Linked DNA regions of Solanum lycopersicum. The protein of the gene in region 1 interacts with the protein of each later gene in a biochemical or structural test. Links are inferred from orthologs where the notes say so. Each region holds a gene or a part of one and is shown on either strand. Other genes may lie near its edges. The genes, in order: peroxisome biogenesis protein 5 and peroxisomal membrane protein PEX14.

Evidence for each region.
Region 2: the proteins of peroxisome biogenesis protein 5 (region 1) and peroxisomal membrane protein PEX14 form a complex in vitro, tested with the Arabidopsis thaliana proteins (2 studies listed by BioGRID, with this or other methods). The link is inferred for Solanum lycopersicum from reciprocal best matches to the Arabidopsis thaliana genes PEX5 and PEX14.

Annotation. Positions count from the first base shown.
Region 1 is NC_090809.1:802,306-806,926, forward strand, and holds the start of peroxisome biogenesis protein 5, read right to left. Parts: upstream 3,020-4,621; 5' UTR 2,765-3,019; coding exon 2,651-2,764; intron 950-2,650; coding exon 821-949; intron 742-820; coding exon 585-741; intron 108-584; coding exon 1-107. UniProt on the Arabidopsis thaliana protein: Receptor that mediates peroxisomal import of proteins containing a C-terminal PTS1-type tripeptide peroxisomal targeting signal (SKL-type).
Region 2 is NC_090805.1:46,438,689-46,443,089, forward strand, and holds the start of peroxisomal membrane protein PEX14, read left to right. Parts: upstream 1-1,529; 5' UTR 1,530-1,697; intron 1,698-1,813; 5' UTR 1,814-1,833; coding exon 1,834-1,891; intron 1,892-2,632; coding exon 2,633-2,874; intron 2,875-2,976; coding exon 2,977-3,025; intron 3,026-3,131; coding exon 3,132-3,316; intron 3,317-3,939; coding exon 3,940-4,129; intron 4,130-4,303; coding exon 4,304-4,393; intron 4,394-4,401. Other genes in the region: uncharacterized protein, read left to right, coding at 95-167, 263-338, 503-593, 708-827. UniProt on the Arabidopsis thaliana protein: Component of the PEX13-PEX14 docking complex, a translocon channel that specifically mediates the import of peroxisomal cargo proteins bound to PEX5 receptor.

The DNA.
Region 1 (4,621 bases):
TTCCGATAAACCTAATAATGGTAGTGAAGCAGGACGAAACGGAACACCACCATGACCGCTGTTGACAAACGAGTGCAGAAAGCTAGACAATACTTGTTGTGGAGGCCCTAGATTGGGGAAAAGGCAATCAAACTCATATGAACATACAACAAAGTTCATGAAATTAGTTCCTCATATCATACTATTTTCTTCACACATACTGGCAATCACCATCCACATAAACTTATCGATATTAACTAGTTATCAACAATAAAACGAAAGCACCAGGTTGGAAATGTGAAATGCCAACCAGGTACAAGTTCAATCATTTTCTCTGATGTGCCTTTTACCTATATGATCAACATATCGATATCTATCATGTCCTTTGAAAAGTTGAAGCACAATAAATGAACTCGTATAGGCTTCTCAACAATCAAATATGAGTATTCTCCATCCACGGTATAATTCACACACACATACACATACAGGATCCTTCTACTACAGTTTTTCATTGCCATATTGACAAATACACACAACAACCCATTTGCATATTAGTCGTGTTCAAATTCATAAAAGTAATGATTGAAGAGACTGTTTAGTGTTACCATTCAAATCGGGTTGAAGCCGAGCATGCTCCAAAGGGATGTTTGTCATGTTCTGACTTCCATGAGGAAAAGGAAGTTGAGGCCTTTGTATCTCATCCCAAGCATCAGCAAGCTTATTTTGATCAGCAGAACGATACCCTTGAAGGAATTGGGAACCCTGAGAAAGTTGAATTACAAATGAGTAATGCACTCAAAGTTGGATCCCTCACAACCCACAAGCATCTATATACATTAACCTGAATATTAGGCTGAAGTGGATGTTCAAACTCTGATCCTGGAAGCGAGACAAATGGCTCTTCAACACCCGCAAGGAAGTTGCCATTGGACGATGTACTTACTGATGTAGGGATCTCTTTTAGCCTCTCCTGTAAGAGAGATGAACCATCAATCAGGTTAATGCAAGTCCATAACACATCTACACACAATACACTTTGAACCTGAAATGTCTTTTTTTTTATGACAAGGGAAATCCGCAGCCGCTACCCTTTGGGTGCGCACAAGGTAAAACCCCCCTTCCTATTCAATAGCTCGCAAACCACATAGGAGAGGTAACCCACACTAGGCAAGTCCAGTGCAACGAGCTCGACCCAAAAGGCAAACCCCTTGCTTTCATTGGCAAGGGGTTTCGAACTTGAGAACTCCAACAATGGAAGTCCCAAGCCCAAACCACTGGGCGACCCCGAAGGATAACCTGAAATGTTATTTAAGCACTTTTGTCCATCTCAGGCTATTTCTGTCAACAAAATTTTTCAGTATAGATACATGTGTGTAACCACTACAATTAACAACTATGCTGATGCTAGTATAGACTAGACGTTAAGAGACGCCTATTCCTAGTGTAGAGTAGACATTAAACTAAACTACAGAAAGCTCCGCTAGGATTCACAATTAGCAAGTTAAACTAATTCATCAGCAATTTACTTGAAATGTGCATCAAACAATACATCCATTTCGGTCTGAAAGTGGGATAGATAACCTGCTTGCTTATATATGCTCCAAGATATCATAGTTATCAGTCACTTCCCAGTCATGAATCATTCAAAAGAGAAACCAAACAATAACCTTATAGAGGTTTACATAGTTGAGTATTTATAGGTACTTCAACCCAAATAAGTGGTCTTCCAATTAGAATGGACTACACTCAACTACATAAAGTTCTGCACATATACAAAATTAGCAAATTGGAAAAAGAATCAGCGATTTATAGGAATTCGGAACAAACAAGCAGCTAGAGGAAACACATGTAAACGAATTACTTCATGTATGAGATTGTATATCAAATAATCAATCAGTCAACTGCACCTTAAACACAATGATATATATCCATTTCCTCTTATTCAGTATTAATAAGCTGCTTGCTTATATGCTTCAAAAATATCACAGTTGTAACACTTCCCAATCATAAATTATCCTAAGAGCAATCAAACAATAACTTTATCGATGTTTTCTCAGCTGAGAATCTATATGTGCTTCAACCTATAGAAGAAGTGATGTGCCTATTGAAGTGGACTAAACTCAACTACACAAAGATCAGCACAGATTCACAATTAGCAAATCGAACTAATTAGCCAGCAATTTAAAGGAAATACACAATGTTGGTGTAGTAGTGCTTAAAATCCAACACATAACAAACAAACAGCTAGAAAAGCATTTGTGAATGAAATTCTTAGTGTATGAAACTGTATATATCAATAAATATACCGCACCTTAATCTCAGTTATATACATCCATTTCACTCTGAATTCAATATTAATAAGTTGCTTGCTTATATGCTTCAAAAATACCACAGCTATATAAAATAACCTTATCGCGATTTTCTCTATTTGATGCTTCACCGACTAAACTCAACTCAATCAGCAAATCTAACTAATTCGTTAGCAATTTAACACTGCGTAAGCAAACAAGTATATAGAAGACATGGATGAACAAATTTCTTCATGTATGAGATTATATATCAATCAATCAAGTACAATATAATCTTAATCACAATAACATACATCCATTTCTGTCCAAATTGAGTATTCATAAGCTGCTGTTTCACGAAGGAAGAGAGAATTACGATATACCTGAGTCTTAGATGATGAACCGATGAGTGCGTTAGCGAGAGCACCAAGTGGATTAGAAGAAGAAGAAGGTTCGCCACAACTAGGAGCACCGGTGACCAAGTCTCTCATCGCCATGACTTTGTTCGAGTTTTCTTCCCTCTTTTGTCAGTATTATATGATATTATACGAATTGTAGTCGATTGAAGGGAGGAGAGATGGTGCCGGCGGTTAAGAAGACGACGGTCGACGGAGGAGACGGTGAGGTGTAAAACTTGTTGTGTAGTGATTGTGTGGGAATATAGGGAAGGGAGTCGTGATTATTTGTGATGGACAGAAATTGGGGTTTGGTCGTTTTTATCGCTATTGGGAAATGTGACCAGCAGGCTATATAATTTGTTATTATTTAATAAATATTTTAAATACTAATTTTTTCTAAATATTTGGATTAAATTTCATTAATTGAAATCTTTCAAAAATTAAAATTTTACATCAAACTTTTACCATTTATTAAAAGGATAACTTTCACATATAACAAACATAAAATTTATATTTATATGTTATAGCAAAGTTTGCATAATGTACTCCATAGAAAACATATAAATGTATAAATTCGCTATACACATAAAATTGAAGCGAATTGTATAAAGTTTGAGGGTAATGCAATGGTGTTGGTTCCGATTCGACAAAGGTAGAATGCTTGGTCGAAGGTCCAATACAGTAGGTAGCAGGCGTGTTCGTTTTGGCTCCCGAGCGAGAACGATAAATAGGCGATGCACCATCCTTGCTGCTACGTACGGGTTCCTTGACTTGACAGATTCATTCAATTGAACGCACACTCAAAGGAGGACCACAAGCTTGGGGTTAGATTTTTTCGGTGTTCTCGTTGAAACACGCAGGCATGCTCCTTGCTTCTGGGGACATTAATCCAAAGCTCGAGTACGGTCCGTGTGCCGTTTTTCTTCTCTGAAAAAATAATAATTCCTAGTCCGAACTTTGGACCTGTTTCACACTTGAAAGAAGCAATATGAAAAAGTGTATAAAACGAGAAAGAGAAAGAGACTTGGACAGAGAATTGTATAATTATACACTTTGAATTTGTATAAAATGAGAAAGAGAGTAAGCATAAGAGACTTGGGCATGAAATATACAATTGAATCGAATTGTATAAAACGAAAAAGAGAAAGAGAAAAATTATATTCAATTTGAATTTGTATAAAACGAGAAAGAGATAAAGGTAAAAGAAACTGGGCAGGGGAGTATTTTTATTGTATAATTATAAGTATATAGAACGAAAATATATGTATTTGCATGTGTACATACAATTTTGTCTCGCTTTATACAAACATAAATGCAATTTATACATTTCGTTTCTATTTGTATAAGCGAGAGAGTCCAGGGTAGCGAGTGAGATTTGGGAGAGGGGAGAGAGGGCAAAAGTATATGTATTTATACAATTTCCTCTTACTTTATATAAATAGAAACAAATTTTATACACTTGTATTTGTATAAAAGTGAGAGGAAGCAAGCGAGAGATGGAGCAAGAGAGGAGAGTGGCGAGCAAGAGTTCGAGGGAGAGAGGTGACTGATAAACAGTTTGTTATGGGACACAATTAAATCAAAGGGTGGTTATAACAATTAATTTGATTTATTAGTTTGTCGTTTTATACAATTTTTTCTTATAAAAACACCCTCTGTAGTAATTGTTTGATAGTATTACATATTTTATTATGTGAATACTAAAATAGTGATGAAATATTTAATACGAATATGAAAGTGTTTATATGGTTGTTGATGAAAATGATGAACAATCGGCTCAAGATAAATAAAATCATGTGCTTTGTCTACTTTACGATTATGGAACAATGATGCTTGTTACAGTGACTCCAAACTATTATATTGCTCCAGTGTCATGTACGTTACTTGATATTTATTGCAACGAAGATTTAATTGACTTGTAATACAAACTTATGGTTGTTTCTAAAACTTATAGGT
Region 2 (4,401 bases), on another chromosome or scaffold:
CCGATGAGCCATAGGATTCTTCTTAATCAATTTTTTTTAATGCACCATGTGTATATCAATGACTATTTTCTGATGACCTGTCTTGGAATTTCAGGTAGGTACTCTAATTTATACTCGTATTGTCAAGGCCAACCCAGGAATAAACCCAGAGTTATCGTGCATGGATGGTTGGTACTTCCTCTAAGTTGCAAAGAATTTCTTGAATGCCCTAATCTATCTGCTGTTACTCTTGATTTTAATAAAATCATCTTATTCGATACAGCTTCTGGAAAAGCTGCCGAGTTTGGACCCCTTAAAGATGGCTATATGTTTGAATCATCAACTGGTTTGTCACGGATGTAAGTTTCTATTTTGGCTTTCACTTGCAACAGTGAAATCTTTGGTTTAGATTTTACTGTAACCTTAACTTGCTCATCAGAATAGAAACAAGAAAAAGGGTTGAAGGTCTTGTTGCATGCTATTCCCTTAGCTACATGTTCATCTTTTTGTATTTTTTTCCTAGGCTGCTGAGCTCACCAACATGTCCAGTTCTTGAAGGTCTTGGAAAGAAGCTAGCTTTTGAGATAGCTGTTGGTTTAAACGGCCGTGTGTGGGTATATATAAATCTGTTCATTCTCTATTTATTGTGGTTGATCCGTCCATCTCTTTCTAAGTCTCAAATACTTTTGCCTCTATTCTCAATTTAGATACTTGTTCTGCTGTAATAGGTAAATGCTGAGCACCAATCGTCAATCATCCTTGCTGCGAATGCAATAATGAACTCTGAGTCCTTGACCTCAGTGCAACAAAAGATTATGGTGGAGAAGCTGCTTGACAGAGTAAATTGAACTGGATTTAGCATTTCGACCACATAGCCTCTAGCAGCCAAATGATGTGATGGATAATGTGATTGTAACCAGACCGCGGAACATAAATGTTACACAAGCTTCTTCCTCATGGACTTTTAGCCTGCGGCTTTCCAGTTCATCACTCATGAAACCGTCCTGCTTGTTTATGTGATTCTTGTGAGAGTATAGAGAAAAGATGTAACATTATTAGCAGAATTGATTGTCCATGCAAACATTTTGTCCATGGTGTTGTATTTATTCTTCAAATCAATCTTCTGTCCCTCTAAACAGATTTACATTTTTCGGCTTATCAGTCTCTCTTTTTTCTATTGTGGTTTCTGTGTCAGCCTGCATGGACCTTGACTCGTTTAACAAGGTACTTGTTACCTTCACCAACTCGGAGAAAGCGGAGCAAGAATATATTTGATGATTTCTAAGAACTTTTAATTATTTTGCCTTAGGTTACTATAACATGCAAATCTTAATATATTTTTTTCTTTTTAAATGATTGGTAAATTATGTTACCTCTTATAATTTTCTAGGTAAGAGTACCACACAACTTTAGCTCTCAAGACTAAAGGGAACATGCTACACTAAACTACATTTTTAAGTTTTAATCTTTTATCTACGTAATAATAACTTTATCAGTTACGTGTTAGACTAAAAATAATGAAAAAGAAAAAGACAGAGAAAAAGGAGCTTGACTCTTTGAGGGCCATGTTATCTGCAAAGGGTTTTGTCTTCTTGTTATTTTGTATATCAATAAGCAATTTCGCACACAGAAAAGCTAGTAATAGCATTTGCTTCGAGATGAGCAAAATCCACTTGTGGGTTCTGACATACTATCATCAATAATCAATTCGTCTTGAGGTAATTCGGTGCCTATTTCTATGTTAACAAAAAAAAAGTTTGGATTTTTTTTCCTTTTCTTCTCTTCTCCTCTAATCTTGGCATGTTCTTTTTCTTGTACTGTTCTTGAAATTCAGTTCAATAGGAGTTGGATAACATGGCGTCTCAATCAGATTCTCCACCCAACTCCGTAAACGAGAATACCCAGAATCCAGGTACCCTTTTAGTTGCTTTTCTTTGATGAAAGTTGTTGCTCTGCTACTGTTTAGTTGATTCTTGAATATCAGACAGAAATAGATCGTGATGTTTAGTTATTGCTGCTACTTTGTTATCTGAAAAGAAGTATTTGCCATAAAGATCGAATCTTTTTGGACTTTATGATGTTTGTGCCTTTTTGTCTTTAACTGGGATAGGAGCATGTAATTGTGCTTCTTTTTTCTTTTATGGATGGTTGCTACTTTTGGTTTGTTAAGCAATAAAGTAGTACTAACTTGATATTGTTACATCTAATGATCATTTGTTTAATACTGTAGCTTGTGTTGTTAGAAGCCGTATGATTTTGGTGTAGTGCAAATCTTCGAGATAATTAGGTTTTTTCTGTGTTCTTAAACATTTACCTTAGCAACTAATGACAGGTTTAAGCCTAATGTTCTTAAATAAATGGATTGATTTGATATCCAGTAACTGTATATAATGTGCATATTGATAACTAGGTGATTTTGTTTTCAGTGTGAGGCTTCTGAGGATGGTAGGTTCATTAACTAGATAATTTTCTCTACGAGGCTTTGCACAATCATAGATTAGAATGCACCAGCAAACCCTCTCAACAAGAGAAACGATGTTGTATGAAATAGATAATTTGATGCTATATCGTGATCCAAACTTAAATTTCTAATTTGAAGCAACAGAGAATTTCATGATATATCGTAATCCAAGCTTAAATTTCTAATTTGAAGCAACAGCTTCGCAACCAGCAGCTGAAAATCATCAAGGTCCCAAGCCTGAGGCTGCAAGTGGGAGCTCTCCAGCTTCTGTGTTTGTAAACTCGGAACCAATTCGGGAGGACCAAGTCCAGAATGCTATGAAATTTCTTTCACATCCAAAAGTTAGGGGATCTCCAGTCATGTATAGGCGTTCTTTTCTTGAGAGGAAGGGGCTTACAAAGGAGGAAATTGACGAGGCCTTTCGTCGAGTTCCTGTAAGCCACATTTAGATTTTTTACATTTGATATTGTCTTAAATGTAACTGTAATATCTACATGAAATTTAAGATATATATTGATTTTGTGCCTAAATTACAGGATCCTACCCCAACTGTTACTAGCACACAGCCAGTTGCTGCTAATGAAGGTAATTCATATTGTTCTCGAAATAAGTTTGGCCTTTTATTCTTTTCTTGAGATTGATACTGTTTGGAGCCTATGCTTGTCATGTTGTCCTGATATATTGATGACAGATGGGACACAGAAGCCTTCATCGACTAGTACATCACAGGCTGCTTTACAAAATCTGCAGCCAGCGTCAGCTCCGAGCAATAGCATGAAAAAAATGGGGTATCTCTCTCATTTCCATTGGACTCATGCAGTTATTGCTGTAGGTCTACTCGCTGCTTCAGGAGCTGGAACAGCTGTACTTTTCAAGGTATTGCATAGTAAAGAGCTTTCTATTTATCATGCCAATCCGTACCATATTGTACTTTTTCTTCTGTCTATTCCCCATTTCTTCAGTGTAGATTTATTTTTCATAAGCGAGACATCTCAAACTTTTATTTGTGGTGGTTCAGTTTATTATTAGTTTAGTAAATTGGTTGAACTTATTGACCGAAACAAAGAAAAGAAAAGAAAAGAAAAAAAGCCTAATGATTTCATACAAATTACAAAAGGTGGTATTTGATTAATGATGGGTATCTCATAGATGTAACTCTGGCCTCTCATATGTGAGGAGCTTGCATGGTGATGGAAAATTTGACCACGCCTATATACTCTAGATGCAGGTCATTTCAAAAAAGCGTGTACCTTAACTGAAGAACTATTTGAAGATTTTTAGTTAACCCTGTTCTGACTTTTGTGTTCCTTCTTTCTTTATTATAAATATCCCTGTTATGAAGATTTTCTTCAGATTTATTTGGTCTCCTCCGATGCTTTATCTTATTAGATCCATCTCTAAAGTAGGATTCTGGTGCTTATGACAATCTATTGGAAACTTTTCTCATGGACTACTCACTATATTTATCACCCACTGTTAAGTGACACGTCCATTTGCAGAAATCTATTATTCCCCGGTTGAAGTCTTGGATACGCAAGGTTGTAATGGATGAAGAAGAAGATGAAAAAGGTATTGTCAAGGGAAAACCAAGTTTAGCAGAAGAAGCTGCTGTTGCTGCAAAAGCTGCAGCAGCTGCTGCTGCTGATGTTGCCCGAGCAAGCCAGGAGATGTTGGCATCAAAATCCGAAGGTTGGTAATGTAAATTCTTATGTAATAACAAGTTAAGAACTGGATCTGAAATAAAATAAACTGAAATATTGTTCAACATTGGTGACTTAAATCTTTCATCCTCTTTCTTATCCAGTGCTTATTTTTTTTTACCATCGATAATCATGTTGTGATTTAACTTGTGTTCCTCCACAGAGAAAAGGTATTTTGAGGAGCTGACAAGCCTGCTAAACTATCAAGTACGTGAGATGAAATCAATGACAAGTGCTATAGAGAAACTGGAAGGTGTGCCT